Linked DNA regions of Saccharomyces cerevisiae S288C. The gene in region 1 interacts genetically with each later gene. Each region holds a gene or a part of one and is shown on either strand. Other genes may lie near its edges. The genes, in order: PTP3 and RIE1.

Region 1 (11,123 bases):
TTGGCTTATTGGAGATAAATCTCTTGGTGGCGGCGACGGTGATACATTTAATTGCACCCACTCTTTTCGAAGCTCCTACTACACACCTTCTGGAATGGCCAGCAACAGTGTACCTAATCATGCTTGGTCTTCGTATTGCTGTCTTGCTTGCTAAACAGCTTTTGCTACTTCTTCTTCGCTGATGAGAAAAGGGAGTCTACTAAATACAGTTCGGCTTAAAGTGTCGCTGGTCAGCAATCGGCCCGAAAATACATTGAACATTTGAAATTACCATGTTTCAAAACGAATATTTATTATAATTATTACTAGTAAAAGTTATACATAAGAAGGGAATAATACAAAGAAACGGGAAACAGCTAAATGTAGTATATAGCCGAAAGATGTGGACATATCCCAACAAATCGTCTTATGAGATCCTTTTTTTGTTTTATATTTTTTTTTTTTAGCGGGTATAAACGTATCATTTATATATTTTATTCTTTCCTTTAACTCTCAAAATTTGAGCAATTAGGTTACTGTGGTTCACGTGATTCAAGTGTGCACATTGCTGCTATGCTTTGTAGTATTATCCATAGAGTTTAGGGAGGGGGAATGGTCGGAGAGTGGGTAATTTGCATTGTCTAATGGAGCAGAATCAGCGTTACTTTTCTGGAAATAAAACTGGTCCGATAACGAAGTAGTAGAATCAGAGGTGAGATTGGAGTTGGAAGTGGTGTTGAGTTTGTAAAACTTTTCGGTTTGATCATGCGATACCTTGTATTTGTCATCCTTGTCATTCTTCTTTTTTTTGTTCTTCTTTTTGTTCTTAGGGTCTACCATATTGCTAGTCTTCGGGGTAGGAGACTTTGTTCCATTATTGTGATCATATTGTTTTCGAACCATGGAATTCAATAAATTAAGTGAATATTTCGGAATCCCATCTCTTTTGACATTAATCCCCTGAATACCATCCTTCGTGGCAATCATGGAGGCACCTGATGTGATGGAGCAACCTGAGTTCGTTCTCGTTATCCTATCTTCACCAGAGGCAATATTGGAAGGGCTCATTGATCTCTGATCTAAGTCCAGGTTAGTAGACCTGTTATTAGTGTAAATGGACTGATCATAGAGAGAGATGGCAGATGCAACATCTTTTGAGCTTATTGAATGTGATGAATCAGGCATTATTAACTATTCGCTTCCTTTTCTTATCTCAGCAGTTTGTGTTTTTTATTCTTATTGTTATTATCCCTTTTAACTATATATGCATAAGCTAAGTTAAATATTAAAATATTTATATATAAACGTTACAGGGCGTGTGAACACATTTGAAAAAATGCTGGAAGGTAATGGTAGATATAAGAATTGGAATAACAGGTTGATAGAGAATCGCCAAGCTAGAGAGTTCTGACAAGCGGCAAGGGGGAAGGATGAGACGCAGATACGAAAGCCGCACCATTAAACCGTAAAGAGAGAAAAATAAAGAATGACTTATTTCTCGGAAAGGCCAAATGCAATTATGCAACACGCACACATTCACACTCACACTCACACATAAACTTTGACTGAAACCAAAACTGTTGTGAGTAATAGCCTTTCTTGTTCATAAAATAGTACAAGATACAGTAAATATATATCAACTCACCTGGTATAGGGATCACTTACTGCACTGCAAAAGTGGATCGTTTGCGCAAGAAACTCCACCAATTCTAAAGAATATAATAGAAAAAGCTAATAGGAAAAGTGGTCATTTTCTGTTGATATGTTACATAGGATAAACCCAGTACGGTTTTCTATGCAATCTTGCCAAAGATACTTCTCGAAGTTGGTATCGCCATTGGAACAGCATAAAAGTAATACTTTTACTAATAGAGTCAGAATCCCCATTGAGGCAGGCCAACCACTGCATGAGACAAGGCCGTTCCTTATAAAGTCGGGCGAGTTGACACCAGGCATTTCAGCCTTGGAATACTATGAAAGAAGAATTAGGTTGGCGGAAACATTGCCTCCCAAAAGTTGTGTGATTTTAGCTGGTAACGATATCCAATTTGCATCTGGAGCAGTATTTTATCCGTTCCAACAGGAAAATGACCTGTTTTATCTTAGTGGTTGGAATGAACCTAATTCGGTCATGATTTTAGAAAAGCCAACGGATAGTTTAAGTGATACAATTTTCCACATGCTGGTTCCGCCAAAGGATGCGTTTGCTGAAAAGTGGGAAGGATTTAGGTCTGGGGTTTATGGTGTTCAAGAAATTTTCAATGCCGATGAATCTGCTTCCATTAACGATTTGTCTAAATATTTGCCCAAAATAATTAACAGGAATGATTTCATCTATTTTGATATGCTATCAACTTCTAATCCCAGTTCGTCCAATTTTAAACACATCAAGAGCCTGTTAGATGGCAGTGGGAATAGCAATCGATCATTGAATTCCATTGCGAATAAGACCATCAAACCCATCAGTAAAAGAATTGCAGAGTTCCGTAAGATCAAGTCCCCTCAAGAGTTGAGAATTATGAGGAGAGCTGGCCAAATATCAGGAAGATCGTTCAATCAAGCCTTTGCTAAAAGATTTAGGAATGAGAGAACTTTAGATTCCTTTCTTCATTACAAGTTTATATCCGGTGGTTGCGATAAGGACGCATATATCCCCGTGGTCGCTACTGGTTCGAATTCTTTGTGTATCCATTACACAAGAAACGATGATGTGATGTTTGACGACGAAATGGTTCTTGTAGACGCTGCTGGCTCCTTGGGTGGTTATTGTGCTGATATTTCGAGAACGTGGCCCAATAGTGGGAAATTCACTGATGCACAAAGAGATCTCTACGAAGCTGTATTAAATGTTCAGCGTGATTGCATTAAGTTATGTAAAGCTAGCAATAACTATTCCCTCCACGACATCCATGAAAAGAGTATCACACTCATGAAACAGGAATTGAAAAACTTGGGCATAGATAAAGTCTCCGGTTGGAATGTTGAAAAATTGTATCCGCACTATATTGGACACAATTTAGGTCTAGATGTTCACGATGTGCCTAAAGTTTCCAGGTACGAACCATTAAAGGTTGGACAAGTTATTACTATTGAACCGGGTTTATATATTCCTAACGAGGAATCATTTCCATCTTACTTTAGAAACGTCGGAATAAGAATTGAAGATGACATAGCCATTGGTGAAGATACTTACACTAATTTAACTGTTGAAGCAGTGAAAGAAATTGACGATTTAGAAAATGTCATGCAAAATGGCTTATCTACAAAATTCGAGGAGGACCAAGTGGCACCACTGTAATGTTATTGCTAAATTGAGTACACCCTGTATATACAGATACATAACTTATCGATTTAAGGTCTTTTAATATTAAACGGAAAATTCAAAAAAAAAAAAATTTACTGAAAATATCTTGAGATACTTTTCTTCAGCTTTCTTTTTGTTTTTTTCCTCTTCTTCTTGGGCACTGCTCTTTAGTTTTTATTTTTAGTTACGGCAAAATAAAGATGGGTCTAAAAATTACAAAAGGACAGCTGAGAACCAAGGATCTGAATCAATCATCCTCAAAGTCATCGCAGTCTTCAAGAATAGGTGTAGACACTTGTATATTTACTAGAATGCTACCCCGAATAAACACTGCAATTAATCTCACAGAGCATCTGCTGAGAAGATCTTTTCATTCACTGACAAATCTACAGAAAACTCAAGTAAAAGAAAGACTACATGAGCTAGAACGTCACGGTTTCATATTAAATAAAACATCCAAACAATTGGAAAGGATAAATTCTAAGAAAAGAAGACAATTGAAAAAACTGCAAAAGACAGCATACCCCAAGGATCAAGCTTTTCATATTCTTCGAAAATTTCATAAAATAAATAATGAGGCATTAGCAGATACAAAACTGGGGCCAACTAGCCAAAGCGACTTGAAGTTCCTATCCTTAACCAAAGATAAGAGACTCTTTTATACCATACTAGGCGTCAATGGAGAACAGTTACGTGATTCCAAATTAATCGCCAATGATGTTCAAAAATTTTTGAAAAGAGGACAACTGGAAAAAGCTGTCTTTTTGGCTAGGCTAGCTAAAAAGAAAGGCGTCGTTGGGATGAATTTGATTATGAAATATTATATCGAAGTTGTGCAGTCCCAACAAAGTGCTGTAGATATCTTCAATTGGCGAAAAAAATGGGGAGTCCCTATTGATCAACATTCCATCACAATCCTCTTTAATGGGCTCTCAAAACAAGAAAATTTGGTCTCAAAAAAATACGGAGAACTTGTTTTGAAGACTATAGATAGTTTGTGTGACAAAAATGAGCTCACGGAAATAGAATATAATACCGCTTTGGCGGCACTGATAAATTGTACCGATGAAACACTAGTGTTCAAACTTCTTAATAAAAAGTGCCCAGGTTTGAAAAAGGATAGTATTACATATACCTTAATGATAAGATCTTGTACCAGGATTGCCGATGAGAAACGTTTTATGGTGGTACTCAATGATTTGATGAATAAAATACCAGACTATTGTGTCGATTCTAAATTGTTATTTGAGTACTGTGAAGTAATATGTAGCCAGAAGTCACCAAAGATTGAGAAGCAAGGAATGGGACTATGGGCCCTCTGTGAATATTTTCAATTTGATAAGACCATTTTCAAGAAGTATTTGACACAAAGCGATTTTCCTACGTTAGTTCCACTAAGTCATTGGAACATCAATAAGCCATTTCCTCTCAACAAACATGTTGTGGGATTGTTTATGAATTACTGTTTGAAAAACAAGGAATATGATCTTGCTATGGAAATATTTAAGACATTAGAGGCACAGAACAACCAAATGTTAGATCAGAGCATATACCACAAATACATGGAAACTGTCATAACAACGAGGCCCATCACTTGCGGCGACGAGTGTCTGGACATTTATGAACGGGTAGCCTCGTCGGCACAAATCTCAATAACCAGGAGGACGTTAATTTTGGTGTACAACGCATTCCAAAGACAAAGTCTCAAGGCCGTTATAAACAAAGATGCATCAAATGCTGAAGCTACTTTGCACAAGATTCGGGGGTTTATAGATAGCGTAGAGGCCACATACTCATCAAAGTTGAACGGCAAAGTTTACAGGTTTAATTCATGGAAGTTCCTGTTTCCTATCGTTAAAAATCTGAACATGAATGATAAAGTGTCTACAGTGGAACTGAAAAGTATACTAGATGAATACTTGAAATCTTTATTGAATGGTGAGTTCGGGAAGGAATTTAAAGCGAGCATAGAAGACAAGCGGTTTGTTACGTTGGAGGGAATTCGTTTAGTCAAGGTTTTAACCGAGAGAATCAAGCTTCCGTCACTGGACAGTGAGGAAATAGCCAGTTTAAAAGGCACGGAAAGAAAGAAGTTTCTTGCCAGAAGGCACCTTTTGAGGCTGAAGCAAATATTACTGGAAGATTTAGCGGACATTGAAGGCAACTCAAGAAGGAAGGGTGATAGCGAAAATACAAGTACCAGTGAAGAGCGCATCATGGAGGACTTGGCCGAGCTGATACTTGAAACCAGCTATGACAAGTTTTAAGTAAAAATTGATTATTTACTCCTTTCAATATGTACATAGTTTTGAGGTTTTTTCAAATTTTTTTCCTATTTTTTTTGTTAATTGAAAGTTACTGATGATAAATTATTCAAAGGTGGTGTTAATTAAGAATGAAAGTACATCTTCCTATACTATGAAGGAGAGGTTCATATAACACGCGCAATTGGCACGTCTTAAGTATCATCAGTACAATATAGTGGTATGTCAGGTAAATATAACATGTTCAGTGTAACAACTCATATTTTCCACGTATATATTGGATCTGTAACTCAATTGCGTCATTGTCTACATATTGCTTTTAACAGTTTCATTATTCTGTTACTGTTGCAATTATATATAAGCGTATAAGAGATGTGCCTAAGTATACGATGAGAACGCACATAATGTTATTATATCAACTCGCCTGTATATTTTTGTACTACTTGTTCCAACACGAAAATAAACCAAAGTAAGAAGGGTTAGCACCTTTTTTTGCAAGAGAAATCGCTCTTCAACTATTTTAAGTCAATCCTATGAAAAAGGGTTTGCGCCAGATTTCCAGGGACAAAAAAGAAAGTTTTATGTAAGACTAGATTGTGTTGATATCTCGAGCAAACTGTTAACCATTTTAAACCAATATAGTAATAAGTGTGAATAATCGTTCATCTCTAAACAATATGTAAATAATTCTAAAGAACAAAATATTTTGTCATTATCATCAACCTGTGAGCACTGAAAAAAAATTAATTCTAAAATGGTGCTCCATTTGCAAATATTCTTTCTATTTCCCTGACTCCCGCTAATCGGTTTTATTAGTGAAGAATACAGCCGTGGATTGAAAAACAAACTGGTTCAAGTCATTAACTGAAGTAATGCGACCACATCTTATACAAGAGGCAATGCTTTCTAACAGTTTTACATTATTCAAAATCTTCACATAGCCGTAACTTAACTTATATAATAACCGCATATTGGGCTCTTCTGAAAGAACTATTATAAGAAAGATACAAAAGCAAGCAATCAATCCAAGGGAGAAAAATGACCTCAGGATACTATACCGTCTCATTTTTTTATGCGATCTTATTGTTATGCGCATGCACACGTGCTGAGATCTACCTGACGGGCGGTGAAAGCCAGGGCTTGCCATCAGGATTCTGGCAAATGGACGATGATTTGGCAATCGCTCCAGTTTCTATGGTTGAATTTTACCAGACGATAGGATTAACTGCAAATGGTACTGTACCTGAGTCCTTCAACAAGCGTGATGCTACTGAATACCCTAACATTATCAGTAATATAACTACCCAAGCAGCCAACTTCACTCAGCATAGTCTCGTCGAGCAACTTCAAAATGACGTCACGGCAATAAGTATCAGTAATGCCATTAATGTAGCCGTCGATGGTTCTGTGGAAACACCAGCAGACCTGCAATACAACCGCAACCAGGAAACAGGTGAATCTACCCTCTGTAGAGCCAAGTTTTACGGAGTGGAGGTAAGAACTTGGTCTAGGTTGTACAATAGGGCCGTCTCTTCCACAACTCTTACGACTAATTTGAACAGCTACATAGCGCAATGGGTAGCATGGGCCGTTCACGGGAGCGGTGACAAGAAGTTTTGCGGCAGCCAGGAGTTCACGAATATCTTTTTTGATGGGCAAGAGGGTTGGAGTTTGTTTGTCAAGACGTGGTCAACAAACAGTAGCTGTGATATTACAGCCTCTGAAGGAAATTTAACATGTGCAGTTCGTGTTTCAGTATCCAGTATGCACAATCACGGCAAGACAGCGTTTTGTGTTACCTATAGCCACGGTGATTCTTGGCGTGCCGAGCTGAGAGTAGTTGCCAATGATGCTTGGTCCCATTATTATCCCTGGAGTATTGACTGTCCAGAAGTTGATAAAAATAATATGGCTATTAATGATTGTTTTGATCAGGCGCAAGGTTAACGATTGAGTTTCCCATAATTTTTACCGCTCTCCTCTTGGTTGAGACGTATGCGAAAAGCTAATTCGACGTTTTTTATTGTAAAATCGTACACTTTTGCAGGCAATTCTACATATTATATAAGATTTAAGTCGGATCTTGAGACTTTTGGTGAACTTTGAGATGATTGTTGGGATTCCGTTGTTGATAAAGGCAATAATATTATGTATACAGAATATACTAGAAGTTCTCCTCGAGGATATTAGAATCCTTACAATGGACTTGATATTTCTACATAAAAATATTACGATTATTCCTCATTCTGTTTTTTATGTTTCACCATCCAACAGATCTAAACTCATTTCTTCAGGTATTTATAACTTTGATTGGTTCATCTTAGGCATACTCAATCTTACCTTTTTCATGCGTGTAGGAACGAAACTCTAAAATCATCTACGGGTTAAAATTGCTTATACGGAGGTACCCCGTGTTGAGATCCAACACATACAGAAATTCTGGGCACATGGCGCAGTTGGTAGCGCGCTTCCCTTGCAAGGAAGAGGTCATCGGTTCGATTCCGGTTGCGTCCAATGAAATCTTTTTGTACCAAGTTTTTCTCTGTTTTTGTTAGACCGCAAGCGAGTTTACCGAATCACAGCCCACCTCACCCCACAGGAAAACAGCAGCAGAACGGCTGCTAAATGACTATTAACAATAAGAGGTTTTCGGCTACTTTCGCTGCTTGCTCGTTAAATCCGTTCACTGGTAGCGAACCTCAACGACAGATGTCTATGTATGCTATACGTAAAATCACCCCCATTATGGCCATTTTATGTGTCGCCACTGCTACACACCCACCGATGTGTATGTACTTCTAATATCTAACCAGACCAGACCCCACGCTTTTTCTGGCATCTCCTGCTGCCATCTTGGTGTAGTGAGCGGAAACTTTAAACATTAAACAGAATGGCGGCGACTTTGAGATTTGGGCCCGCTGACGCTGAACGAAAAGAAAAGACCTTCATGAAAAAAATATTTTGCGGCAAAACGTCATCGGAGAACACAGCGCAGCGAGAATGTGGTGTTAGCCAGACCCAACAGTTTGCGCACCTGGCATGGATGGATGCAGATAGGTAGTGTTCGATGCGCAAGAGTCCAATCTTCTCCTCGCCATTTGCACCGGCGGATGTAACACTATATTTTCATTGACCTTAGCGGTTTTCTTTCTTTGACATGTAACATCATCACTTCAAGCACAAACAAAGAACTGTATACACAGACCACAAACTTGCATATTATTCTAACATCGGTGTTATAATAGCGTAGGTGCTCTTATCACTGCAAAGTTCATAGAAAATCCGTATTGTATCTCCCTTCTCCATCAGCAACACAGATCTACTTATCATATAGAACATGAAGGACAGTGTAGACTGCCCAAGCATTCTACCCACCGACCGCACTTCAGTGCTTTCCGAGACTAGCACTTTGGTCGGATCGAGTTCGCATGTATATTCGAGGCATGCTCCTATGAACAGTTATCATAACAGCATGAACAGCAACATATACCACAGCCCCAAAGCCAGTAGCCCTTTGGTGAGCTATAAGACATCTTCGCCGGTGTTATTGAAGAGGGCGACCGCTCCTGTCCTGCCAAGCTTCAAGCCCAAGGAACAGCGATATAATAAGCCGCAGGGTTGTTCGCTAATTACTGCTGTAGAACTGGGCAAGATTATTGAAACCTTACCAGATGAAAAGGTGCTCTTACTTGATGTTAGGCCGTTTACCGAACATGCCAAATCCATTATCACAAACTCCATTCATGTATGTTTGCCTTCCACGCTGCTGAGGAGGAAAAATTTCACCTTTTCCAAACTCTTGGACAACTTAACTCCTAGCGAGCAAAGCGTGTTGAAATCTAAACTGGCCATCGATAACCTTCGGATTATCATTTATGATAGCACCGCAAATCAAACGGAAAGTTCTGTTTCTTTACCTTGTTATGGAATAGCGTCCAAGCTAATAGAGTTTGATACTAATGTTAAAAAAACCGTGTCTATACTAATGTGTGGTTTTCCTCAATTCAAAATTCTATTTCCAGACCATATAAACACCAACACATTTAACTCAGATTGCATTAGTTCGGCTGAACCTAAAAGCCCCAAGACAAACCTTATGAACAGTCTACACAACACAGCGCCGCATATGACGGCGACAACACCACTATCGTCTCCGCAAATGAACCTTAAGTTGAAAGTTCCTGACGATAGTAGGTCAGATCATTCAAACTTTTCCAGTTCTCCCTCTCCGCGTAACGTCCTATCAGATTCTCCCATGTCTTCTTCTTCCCCCATATCTGCCTTATTTAAGTTCCAGCTGCCTGCACCACAAACAAACATAAACCAAATGTTCAAATTTTCGCAAAATGAAGAAATAATGGGTTTAGAGACGTATTTGAGTGCAGTCAACATCAAAGAAGAACATGAAAGATGGTATAATAACGATTCTGCCAAAAAATCTTTACAAAACTTCCAATTCCCAAAGAACCAAAATTCTCTAGAAAAGGACACTAATAAAGACAAACTAGGGTTTCAGATCAGATACGAAAACCTGAGCAAAAATTACGAAAAGGAGGTCATTGACTCCGTTATACCTGAATGGTTCCAGCATCTGATGTCAATACCCAAGATCGAGTTGGTTTCTCAGTTTCAAAAATTAGATTTTTTGGAAAAAAGGCGCTTGAACCATTCTGTCTCTTTCAGGAAGAAGGAAAACTCGTTTATACTTGAAAAGCCATCATCATATCCTGAACAGTTAACATCAACTTCTTCTTCAACAATCATGCCTCCAAAATTTCCTGACGTGAACAAAGTACAAAAGAGGTCGCATTCTCAGCCAATCTTCACTCAATACAGTAAATATAAATCGATGCTCAGCCTTGAATCAGATTCCGATTCGGAGTCAGATGACGTTATAATATCATCAGGCGTTGAATTAGGAGCCAAGAACAGGTACAAGGATATTTTTCCCTACGAGCATTCGAGAGTGATTCTAAAAAAAGGTTTGCAATCATCAAAAGGTATCAAGCATTCACATTCTACTTCCGATGGTGGCATCCTCGACAATTATATCAACGCAAACTATTTGTCTCTGCCAAGGTTTTCTGTAGAGCAAAATTCGTCATTTCAAACAACTACAACCACAACAAGAAGAGTGCGCTATATAGCGACGCAAGCTCCAATGCCCTCCACTGTACATGACTTTTATACATGCATATTGAATAATGGCGTTCCGTTGGTTCTCTCATTGACAAATGATTTCGAAAATGGCATTGAGAAATGTTATCGATATTGGCAAGAAGGTAATTATAACGGTATTCACGTTAAATTGTTAGAAAAAAAAATATTAAAGATGCCTAGCACTACTAGCATGAGGAAAAATACTATGGGAACACAAAATAGTAGTTTATATTCAGCTGGTGTTCAGGGAAATAGTAGTAACTATAGTACTGATAATGATAATGATAATGACAACAATAATAATAACAATAACAATAGTAATATTGCTGTTACTGCTGCTGCTTGTGATGATGATGATGATGATGATGATGACGCAATTCTCATAAGAAAAATTCTGCTAACATATCATGATCAAG
Region 2 (11,123 bases), on another chromosome or scaffold:
TATTGTTTAAGTCTTTGAATTGCTCTAAACCAGGCCTTACAATATGCGATTTCGAAATCGTTCTTATTTTTCTTCGCAGGGCCGCTTCTTGTAATAATAGAATCTTACCTGCGTCCAAATATCGTATTCTTGGTAACATAGAACATTGCATCAGCGTACCACCTTCATAATCTTTAATATATCCCATCCATATACTTTTATCCAACGTGATTTCTTTAGTGAAGCCTTGCTTTTTAAAGTATCCAATAGCGTAATTATCTGCATATGTCAAAAAATATTTTATGTTCGAGGTATTTCTAACATAGTCTTTTAAGTGATTCATTAGATGCGCACCATAACCGCGTACCTGTTCCGTCGAACTGATGGCACAGAAAACAATTTCTGCGAATTCTCTCTTATCGAAAGGTCGATATGTTATGCCACCTACGACAGTCAATGGCTTCCTAATGACAGCCATGGAAAGATGACTTCGATCATAGACTAACCTGGCAATGTATTCTTTGGGCATTTTTGGTAATTGCTTTTGAAAAATGTTTTTTAATCCAGTTAGGACCATCATGTTTTCTTTAGTATTATCATTATTCACCACCCTAAACTCAATTTTACCTTCATTTTCCTCTACGACACTGGGTCTCTCTTTGAATGTGTATTCAACACCATCAAATTCAAATTTGACAATTCCTTTTTCCACATCTGTAACCACTTCAGATCCTCCTATTCTCTCAGTTTCTTTCTCGAACTTTCCTTTATTCTCTTTATCGGTGCCCTCTTGTTTATTGGTCTCAGCCTGCTCAGGTTGTATTTCTTCAACGTTGTTTTCTAATTTTACCCGTTTAACTTCGGGATCCGTCGTAGCTCCATCCAAGTGATCCTCTTCAATCTGATGTTTTGTGACCATCTAATGTAGAATACGAACCTGAGTTAACTGAAGACTTTTGGGCGGCTCACGGTCTTCCCTTACCAATCCTTTGTTTTTATTTATTGCTTAATCAAACATTTACGCAGTATAATTGTTTAGGTTTGAAAAATCCATAAACGTATATAATGATACATATAGCTTCAAAAAACTGAAAGTAGAGAGAGTTGTAAGAATATATGAATATCCAACTATAAAAAATCTTGCGTAAGAATTTCAATAGTCGATATATTGTTTAGGTCCAAACACTTAAATATGCCTGTTTAACACGCGTTTGTAAAGTTCTAATTAATTCTTTTCCATACAGCGCACTACATGTCTTATTTTTTTTGTCTTTGCTCTCGAGTATTGAAAAGGATTGCGAAAAAAGCAAATAGTGGCTGGTCAAAAATTCTAGTGGAGCATTAAGCCTACTGAGGAAGGATCTGCATTGCTACATCTCATTTAATGTTATTCTAGCAACGTTAACGTACTCAGTACTTGCAGTATGCAATAATTGCCTTGGCTAGAATTCTCTTCTGTACGTATTCATTTGTTGACAAGCAAACATCATTACGCCCTACATAAAACAACAGACGAGGGAAGAAAGACGCATTTTTTGCTGCCCATAAGTGTTTAAGATTATTTACGTGCCTTCTTTTTTTTATCAAAAAGTAAACCAAATTTTTTTTTTGTGGACTTTTGCGGCATTGTCCCTGCATCTTCATCCTCTTCATCACTGGCACTATATGAGTTCGAAACGCTGCTTTTGCTATGCTCTTGTTTCTTCCTTAGTCCTTCCTTCTCGCCTTTCCTCATTTTTCTTTTAAGCGCAATCATGGCTTTCGTATCATCTTTAGTGATCCTGTACATATTATTTCGTTGCAACCCTGGGTCACTTCTTTTCTTTTTCTTTGCCAACGAACTTACCTTTTTATCACCCTCAATAAACTCACCAATCGTATGTATATCTTCTTTGGCGGAAGCGTCATCTTGTGTGCGGAAGTGTAGGCCCGATCCAATCTGCAAAACGGGAAGCTTGAAAAATGCCTTCTTACCATCCTCCAACTCCTTGTGATCTTTTAACTGTTTGTTACGCTCTGTATCATTGCTAATGCCGGTTTCATCTGATTCTTTCAGCCAGTCCAAAACTGCAGCAGTATTGTTACTGAAAGTAGACTGGAGTTTCGCTTGCAAGTTGAGCTTCTCTTGTAATTCTTTGGCCCTACTCATTCTGAACACTACCGAGGAAAGATAATACGGTATACTGTATCAACTGTAGATGTGAGAAGAGGATTTGTTTCAACATCTTATAAATCTTGAAATCTTTTTTATGCGTTAGTTTTTCCAATCTCATCGCTAGAAATTGCCCGCGTCGCAGGTCAATTACAGGCCGTCAAGAAGAAACAGCGGCCACTACGGTTACTTCCAATGCCTTTAAAGCAGGATCAAACATGCAATCATTATTGTCTTACTAAAAGGTTGATACATACATACTGTAACTAAAGCTGACGTTAGGAAATAAATATCTAAAACAAATGACAGCTATCGAACAGGCCAATTTAAGACGATTTTAGGTAAAAAAAATCCGGACCAAAGTGGCACGGCTTCTTTGTGTAAATGCCTTCCACTATTTTATTCAAGAGGTTGTAGGAAATGCCTCTCTTCAGATCTTCCAAACAATAACATTACATAACTGAACAGTGAAGGAGCATTCTGGTTTACTGTAAAAGTCTCCTCCTTGTCCCTCCTTGTTTTCCAATTAAGAAACTTTGTAGCGTCTAATTCATTGTAGTCCTGGTTCCTTGGCTTCGATCTTCTTTCAAAATACCAAAGCTTTTTTGAAAGGCAGTGTCTTAAAGATACTACGAATGTGGCTGCGTATCATATATGTATATGTATATATACAATTATATTCTATGTTTGAAAAGGTCGTTTTTCGTTCAGAACACTCGTATATCTTCGGCGGTTAGAAAAGATAGTGAAACTAAAGGAGGAGACTATAGAGACACTGCATTGTATTGAATAAACAAACAAGGCGACGACTCACTATTACAAAGTATTTTCATGGATGCAGCCCTAAATAAACCGTTGTATCTTATATCATTACGCTCAATAATCGTTAATGAAGAAGAAGGGCGGCTATTTTCGTAAATTACACTACAAACTTCAATTACATACGCAATTCTTGTCACATGCCAATGAGCACTATATCATATGCTACAAGCTCACATACACAAGGGTTATGTTTCCTTAGCGGCATATTTTTGAAAGTCAAAAAATGTGTACAACAGAGAGAAAGAGGAGGGCCGCAACAGCTTGAAGACAACAGATGAGAGCCAAGTTCGTATGTGGATTACGTCCGAAGGAATTGAACTTCCCAAGAGTAATGTGTACGGGACTGATCGAAATTCTCTCTTTTTCCTTAGAGCGTCTTTCTGCAGATCGCCACTACTATTCCTAGCGGAAGAAACAAAAGAACGAAAAAAAAAACACTAGCCTATGCAAAGGGGAATATAATCATATGGGAATACAAGGATTGTAGTACTTGCATATTGTTCCGGCCCAACCCATTTCAAGATCCAACTACTTCATGGTAGGAAGCACAGTTTTTACATTCCCGAGAAGCAGCGCCCGCTTATTGCCCCGATAGAAGCAAAAACACCGCAACTCGTGGTTACGGGGTAAGAAACCGAAAATTATTTAATCATCTACGGGGCTACGCTTTTACATAATCTCTAGAGTATTCTAGAGAATTGAGATGATTTATGTCTTTTCCCGGCTAACATGCAAGTAGAATGCGGATAAGCCTCATGGAGCGTGGTTGATTAATCGACACTCTCGGTATTCTCTTGTGTACGTACGATGTTTCTCCCGCTGATCCGATTACTAGCCGAAGACGTAAAATTGGCGCTTGATTCAATTTATGCCCTTCCCGGGAATAGTTGACCAAAGGGCAAAAAAATTCAGTCGGAGATTCCCTATTGGGCGGAATTTAGTAGATCTCTTTCCGTGCATAACGCCTGCCCGTTAGTCGTTATTTCACGTTAACATTTTCTTGGCCACTGCGCTATATAAATAAATACATATATATATGTCAAGCACAATAAAGAAACTTCCCTTAAATATTGAATAAGTAAATAATAGTTGAAAAGTGCCTTTTGTTCGAAGGATTAGAGTGTTCTTAATTTTAGTTCGTTCAACGGTCTCAAAAAAAGTGTGAACAAGTAAAGCATAGCACACATCCCAAATTACAAGGCACCCTGATTAAAAATCCAAAAATAAACCATAAGTTTTATTTTACTAAAAACATTATACGTGAAAGACAAACCGCATCAGAAGTTTCGAGGATGAATATTGCAGAAGAACCATCAGATGAAGTAATATCTAGTGGCCCCGAGGATACAGATATCTGCAGCCAGCAGACATCAGCGAGCGCAGAAGCTGGAGACCAATCAATAAAAATTGAAAGGAAAACTTCCACTGGTCTTCAACTGGAACAATTGGCCAACACAAATTTATTAACCATAAGAATAAAATGGCAGTTACAAGAAGAAGAAGATGATCACTGCAACTCTAGAATAACCGATCAAATAATGGACACAATACAGCACTACAAAGGTATCTCCGTTAACAACTCTGATACAGAAACATATGAATTTCTTCCGGATACAAGGAGGTTACAGGTTCTCGAACAAAATAAAGACATCTATCTTTACGAGCATGGAAGTCAAGAGTATGAGAAATCTTACAAAGATAACGAAGAGGAAGATGATTGGAGATACGATACCGTTTTGCAAGCACAATTCAAGTACCCCAAGTCATTAGAAAATGCATGTACAGATATCTCGGAATTACTCAAGAGCGAACCTATTGGTCAGCATATTGATAAATGGTCTATCGGTGTGAACAAGCATGCACTAACCTATCCTGGAAATATTTTTGTCGGGGGAATAGCAAAGAGCCTTTCTATTGGTGAACTAAGTTTCTTATTTTCAAAATATGGACCAATTTTATCAATGAAATTGATATATGATAAAACGAAAGGCGAACCTAACGGATACGGGTTCATCTCCTACCCCTTGGGTTCTCAAGCTTCACTTTGCATCAAGGAACTTAATGGAAGGACGGTAAATGGCTCCACACTATTTATCAACTATCACGTTGAGCGAAAGGAGAGAGAAAGAATCCATTGGGACCATGTCAAAGAAAACAACAATGATGATAATTTCAGGTGTCTCTTTATAGGCAACTTGCCTTATCACAATCCTGAAAAAGTAGAGACTTTGATTACACCTAAAGAAGTCATAGAAGTAATCAAGAAGGAGTTATCAAAAAAGTTTCCGGACTTTGATATCATTTCATATTACTTTCCGAAGAGAAGTAATACAAGAAGCAGTAGTTCAGTAAGTTTCAATGAGGAGGGGTCAGTAGAATCAAACAAATCTTCCAATAATACTAATGGAAATGCCCAAGATGAAGATATGTTGAAGGGTTATGGTTTCATCAAGCTTATCAACCATGAACAAGCACTAGCAGCCATCGAGACCTTCAATGGGTTCATGTGGCATGGAAACAGGCTCGTTGTTAATAAGGCGGTTCAACATAAAGTTTACAACAACCACAATAGCCATGACAGGCACCCTTCCATCAGTAACCACAATGATATGGAGGTTTTGGAATTTGCAAATAACCCAATGTATGATTACAATAATTATACATATGATAGATATTACTTCAACAATAATAAAAACGGGAACAGCAACGATACCTCCAATGTACGGTATTTTGATTCTGTAAGATCAACCCCTGTGGCAGAGAAAATGGATCTGTTCTATCCTCAAAGGGAATCTTTCAGTGAAGGTCGTGGTCAACGTGTGCCTAGATTCATGGGCAACAAGTTTGACATGTACCAGTACCCATCAACTTCTTACAGCTTACCTATACCAATGAGTAATCAGCAAGAATCAAACCTATATGTCAAGCACATCCCTCTTTCTTGGACAGATGAAGATTTATATGATTTCTACAAATCTTTCGGTGAAATAATCAGCGTTAAGGTCATTACTGTTGGGGGTAGTAAGAACAAGTATCGTCAACAATCGAATGATAGCTCATCAGATAATGATCTGCCAGTGGGATCATCAAGAGGTTATGGTTTTGTTTCTTTTGAAAGCCCATTAGATGCTGCTAAGGCAATTTTGAATACAGACGGGTATCAAGTGAGCAAAGATCAAGTGTTATCTGTTTCTTTCGCTCAGAAACGTGGTAATTTATCTTCAAGTGATGATGATGATCAATCCCAAACTGATAACTCATCAAAGTTCCAAAATTTTCAGCCACATAATGATTATCATAAGGCTTATCCAACAAAGTATAATAAGAAATTTATCAATGCCTTGATGACTCAGAACCAATCGCAACAGCAAGTCTCGAGGGAAAATTATTTCATACCACTGCAGTACCCTAATACCAACACAAAGCCCGTGAACAGTTACAACTTAATAAGTGCAAACCAAAATAACGCTAACTGGATGATGCCAATGTTCCCATCATTTGGGTTTATTCCACAGGTGCCGCCAGTGCCCTATATAATACCTCCGCAGAATCCTGCAGCAAATCATATTCCTATAATGGCAAACGGTAGTAATGAAGAGGAAGAATTTTCTAGTGGTGATTATTCTATGGACTACTAGATTGCATCAGGTCCATAAAATGTTTTTGTCTGCTTTTTTTTCTTCATGTATTAGTTGGTTTTTATTTTTATATTTTCATTTATCTTATTCATACTTTTTACTCCTTTTTTCTTCATTCTTTACGATCTTGGACATTCAACTAGCCTATGGTAACTTTTCTTATTACTTTGCCCCTCCTTGAGGTGAGTAAATTCTGCATCTATTTTTTTACTATGCAAAGGATAGATAAACAATTCACATGAATGTCAAAATTTTGAAAAACACTCATTATTCAAAAAGATTGCATAAAAAGATATACACTTAAAGTGCAAGATTATACCAACTTTCAGAATACGGAGAGGTTTTTAAGTGGATGAGCATTTTTTCATAACGTTCTAAAACGATATTTACAGTATTTGGTGGCTAAATGAAAAAAAGCCGTATCATGACTGTGCTAGAGAAAGTGTGGCAGTTACATAAATCAAAAGATACAATTTAGGTGCGGCCTCTATAGCCAATGCATGCTCACTGAATAGCACAACAAATTTTTGTTTGGCTAAAGCGATATCCTTTTCGACTTGCAGTTCCACTGCAAGTCGAGTATATTTCGGCAGACAATGTCATTCAAATATCTTGCCTACACTAAGAAATATGTCTCTCTTCTACAAATGTTCAAGTTAGGACATGCCGTAAATATGAAAATATTTGAGCAGATCAACCTTTCTAGAGTTTAAACATTGAAGTTTCCAATGGTCTGATACAAGCAAGCAATATGATTTAAAGAACTCCTTAATAACAACTGCTACAATTACTTTAGCTAGCTAGTACAGCAGGCAATAGGCATTTAACGCTTACACCTATTTTGCCTGTCTTTTTTTTTTTCTGACCTATTTTCGGCTCTTCTGCAGCTATTTTTCTTCATTTTTCCAATCCTAATCCGGAAAACTGAAGAAATTTACATCTTGGTGAATGCACTCTCCTCCGAACGCGTCTGAATAAATGATGTAACCTTAAAACTTTAAAAATAATGCGGATAACCTAAACAACCCTCTTAGATAAACATCAAGAAGTAACATGCTCATAAATACGTCTCGAATGATTCTAGTATTTAAAAAGCACGGAAGGAACGCCTTGAGAGGACGGAACAAGGCAATGGTTGCAGGCGATAAAGAATCAAGAGGCAACCCTCAAGCTTCCAGCCAGTGGAAGAAAACAGAGATGAAAGAAAAGGAGTGAAGTGCTTGCATAGAAGAGCAATACGTGGCAACAAAGTCCCGAACTTGCCTAAAAAAGCATAATTTAATTACATTTATTTAACTTTATTGCTCCTTCTTTCAAAAGTCGGAAGCGCGCGAGTAAAAAAAATTACAGAGCGAAGGAGAGGCGAAGGATAGATGGGGAACGAAATTATTGTTTTATTTTTCCTTTTTTGTTGGAATGTTAAGCGGATCCTTGCTAAAAGATCTGCTCTACTTTCTTACATTTGAAATTTTTAAAGTTTTCTCAAAAAAAAAAAAAAAATTGGAGAACAAGCGCAGCCGGAATGAAAAAGGCCATAATTTATGTTAAATTAATCATAAGAAAAATTGATAATAGCAAACATAGCTTGTGATTCTTTTTCTTTCGGTTTGTGAAATAATTGCATTCTTCCCCCTTGTATCTAGTATGCAAAAATATGGAGAATGTTCGTTCTTCCCTACGTTCACTGAATGTTCCTTGGTATCAACAGCGGTAACAGTTTGTTCAGTTGGATGCGATGTGTTCTGTTGAAAATAATTCAGTAAGATGCTGGTTTAGTGGCGACTTCACCTTTCGTGATTATAGGTATACTCTTGGGAATTATGCTGGACGTCAGAGAAGTTAAGGTCGATGATGTATTCGTAGTCTCTTGAAGGGGTAGGGCAGTTGTTTTAACAGATTGCATAGACATCCATTTACTTTCAAGTTGAATGATTTCCTCCTTGGAATTCTGTAATAGGGATAAGCTTGTTCGAAGGTCTTTGTTCATGGCATCATTAGTTAGAGTTTTATTTTCATCTTGCGATGCGCTGTTAATATGTTTTTCTATCAAATCAGTGATTGTTGATAGAGAGTTCTTTAAAGTTTGTATATGGTTATCCAAAGCTTGCCTTTCACTTATATTGCTTTTTTTGGGTAGTGTTACATTATTATTACAAACTCCTAAAGCAGGTGAGTTAGAAGCAGAGTTCGAAAGAGAGTTCATCATTGAGGGAAATGGAGTGGAGTAACTGCTATATGGCGGGACTGTAGGGAGCGGTTGCTGCTGCTGCTGCTGCTGCTGGGCAAAAGCTCCAGGATGATACGGCATTGGGTAATTAACAATTGGCAAGGAAGTTGTTTTCAGATCATCTGTCGAAGATAGTGTTCCTGATTTCTTCATCGGAGGTCCAGATAATGCTTGTGGAGAAAGTACTTGTTGCGGCTGCTGAGGCTGGACTATGCTATCTTGGGTGGAAAATTGATTGGGATAGTCATAAGAATTCATCATCCTCGCCGAGATGCTTTGCCTTCGCATCATGTTCACCGTGGGTTGTTGAGGGGGCAGTGAAGATATTAGGTAAGGTCCACTACTTTGTTGCTGTTGCGGTATACTGATATGTGGAGGACTTTGGGATGTTGAGTAATGGACGGGACTGCCCATAAACATGTTTGATGGTTCTCTTGCAGAAACTGGTCCGGATTGCTGAGAGAGAACATTTAACCTCGAAGCATCAACGTAACTGACAGATATTGGTGACAGTATATTCTTTCTTTTACCATCTTTTCCCACACCAGTGCTCTTTCTTTGGATTTTATTCAAGATACCGGCGTTGGCCTCTTTGAAGAAGAATCCAGATGGGTGGGTAAATTTCCATTCAACAAGTTCTTTAACGTTACCATTGTTGGCAGAAGATTGGTCTGGGGAAGGATGAGATAGTTTATGAAACCCGTACATGTGTAGTTGACGAACAAAACTATTGACATTTCCATGTTTGAAATAACGCTTCAGAACATGTGTACTAAAATTAGGGTCATATGGCTTCAAAAAAAATACCGTGTTATCAGTCGGAGACCAGTATATCCATTTATTTACTTCCGGTTCCAGAAGAATTGCATGAAGTTGGTGGACGAAAGTTTTAGGTTGCATGTGGCCACCGGTTCTCTGAGCTATTGTATTTTATGGCGTGGGTGAAAATTCAATATAGGGGTTACAGCTGCCTAACCTTAAAGCGTGTAAAGGAGATCTAGATCTTCTGCAATGATCAGCTACTACCAATATATATATATTGGAAAAAAAGGTAAGTAACGACGTATCAAGATAAAACCCCAAAGGAAGAAAGATGCAACCGAAAGGAAAGCATGGAAAACTTCGAGCTATTCACTACCTGATTACTTCAACGTTAATGAATACCCTAAACGTGATAAGTTTGTGCTTTTCCTTCGATATGGATATCTACTGCCTTCCATTTTCTGCTCTACGGGTCAACAACTGAAAGATTATTTTTTCGGTTCCTCCTTTTTCTTCTCGAAAAAAAGCTTAAATCTTTCAAAGACAAAAAAGAAAGATTGCACCAAATCAGCGCAGAAGGCAGCAACCAGAGAGACGGGGGCGCAGAGTCAACATCATATACGTAACAAGTTGTTCAGGGCGGATCGCTTCACGTCATACAAAGGCGCGGATATGCACTAATCTGCAAATCTCGCAGTCACCGTAAGCCCAAGCCAAAGCGAACCATCGGTGCTAAATCGGCCCGCCCGACTGAGACGCACAGATTCCTACGCAGGCTCTCCTTGTGCCGCCCACGGAGTATTCCGTTCACCCAAAAAAAAATAAAAAACGAAAGGGGCAGACCAGGGGCAGACCAAAGGAGGGGAATTACCGGCGTGGCTAATATTCCTTATTTTGCTTAGAGCACCTTCCGTTCCGCCGCCGCTGCTTCCTAATCTGGGGCCAGGAAACGTCTGCGGCGGGCCAGATTCATTCTCGAGCCAGGAGAACTGCGTAGCTTGCGATAAAGGGGCGAAATTAACCCTTCCATGCAGCTGGCCCGAAGCAATTTTATATTTCGTGTGCTCGCCAAAAAAAAAAACCCTGCTGCGTCCCTTATTCTATTTCCATGGAAATTTCCGTTAGCGCTGTTTTGCAGGTGGTTCCGAGTCATAGCATTAAGATTAACGCGTTGTAACGGTATCACCGGGTGAGCTATGTTTTTCTTTTAAGTTATGCAACCTTCGCGGAGGCTCGGTTGCTTACGGAACTTTTAAGGTTGAGTTTGCCTTCGGTACCCCTTTCCTTTCTGCTGTCAATTCTTCTAGAAGAACTGGGTTTATGCTTCGGGAGTAAGCTCCAACATACGCTGTAAAGAAGACAGTTGTCATTTATTTATTATTATGTAATGTAATTAAGGTTGTCTGTCGTGATTAACGGAGCCAGTTTCGTATAAAGACGAGTGTAATTAGCAGTTTTCAGGAATCAAGGCGCCAGCTTCGTCGTCGAGAAACCAAGTTACTTTGGTTCCGACCATTTCATTAACCAGCACACTAGGTAGTTC

The links.
Region 2: mutations in PTP3 (region 1) and RIE1 together harm fitness more than expected from each alone (negative genetic interaction), as found in Saccharomyces cerevisiae (2 studies listed by BioGRID).

Annotation. Positions count from the first base shown.
Region 1 is NC_001137.3:308,961-320,083, reverse strand, and holds the start of PTP3 (tyrosine protein phosphatase PTP3), read left to right. Parts: upstream 1-8,884; coding exon 8,885-11,123. Other genes in the region: AIM9 (Aim9p), read right to left, coding at 1-121; YER079W (uncharacterized protein), read right to left, coding at 532-1,164; YER078W-A (uncharacterized protein), read right to left, coding at 1,274-1,438; ICP55 (aminopeptidase), read left to right, coding at 1,742-3,277; MRX1 (Mrx1p), read left to right, coding at 3,484-5,550; YER076C (uncharacterized protein), read left to right, coding at 6,586-7,494. UniProt on the Saccharomyces cerevisiae protein: Major phosphatase responsible for tyrosine dephosphorylation of MAP kinases FUS3 and HOG1 to inactivate their activity; it also has important roles, along with MSG5, in the inactivation of FUS3 following pheromone stimulation.
Region 2 is NC_001139.9:986,644-997,766, reverse strand, and holds RIE1 (Rie1p), read left to right. Parts: upstream 1-4,245; coding exon 4,246-6,591; downstream 6,592-11,123. Other genes in the region: histone acetyltransferase GCN5, read right to left, coding at 1-898; NOP19 (Nop19p), read right to left, coding at 1,538-2,128; MGA1 (Mga1p), read right to left, coding at 8,348-9,718; 6-phosphogluconolactonase SOL4, read right to left, coding at 11,028-11,123.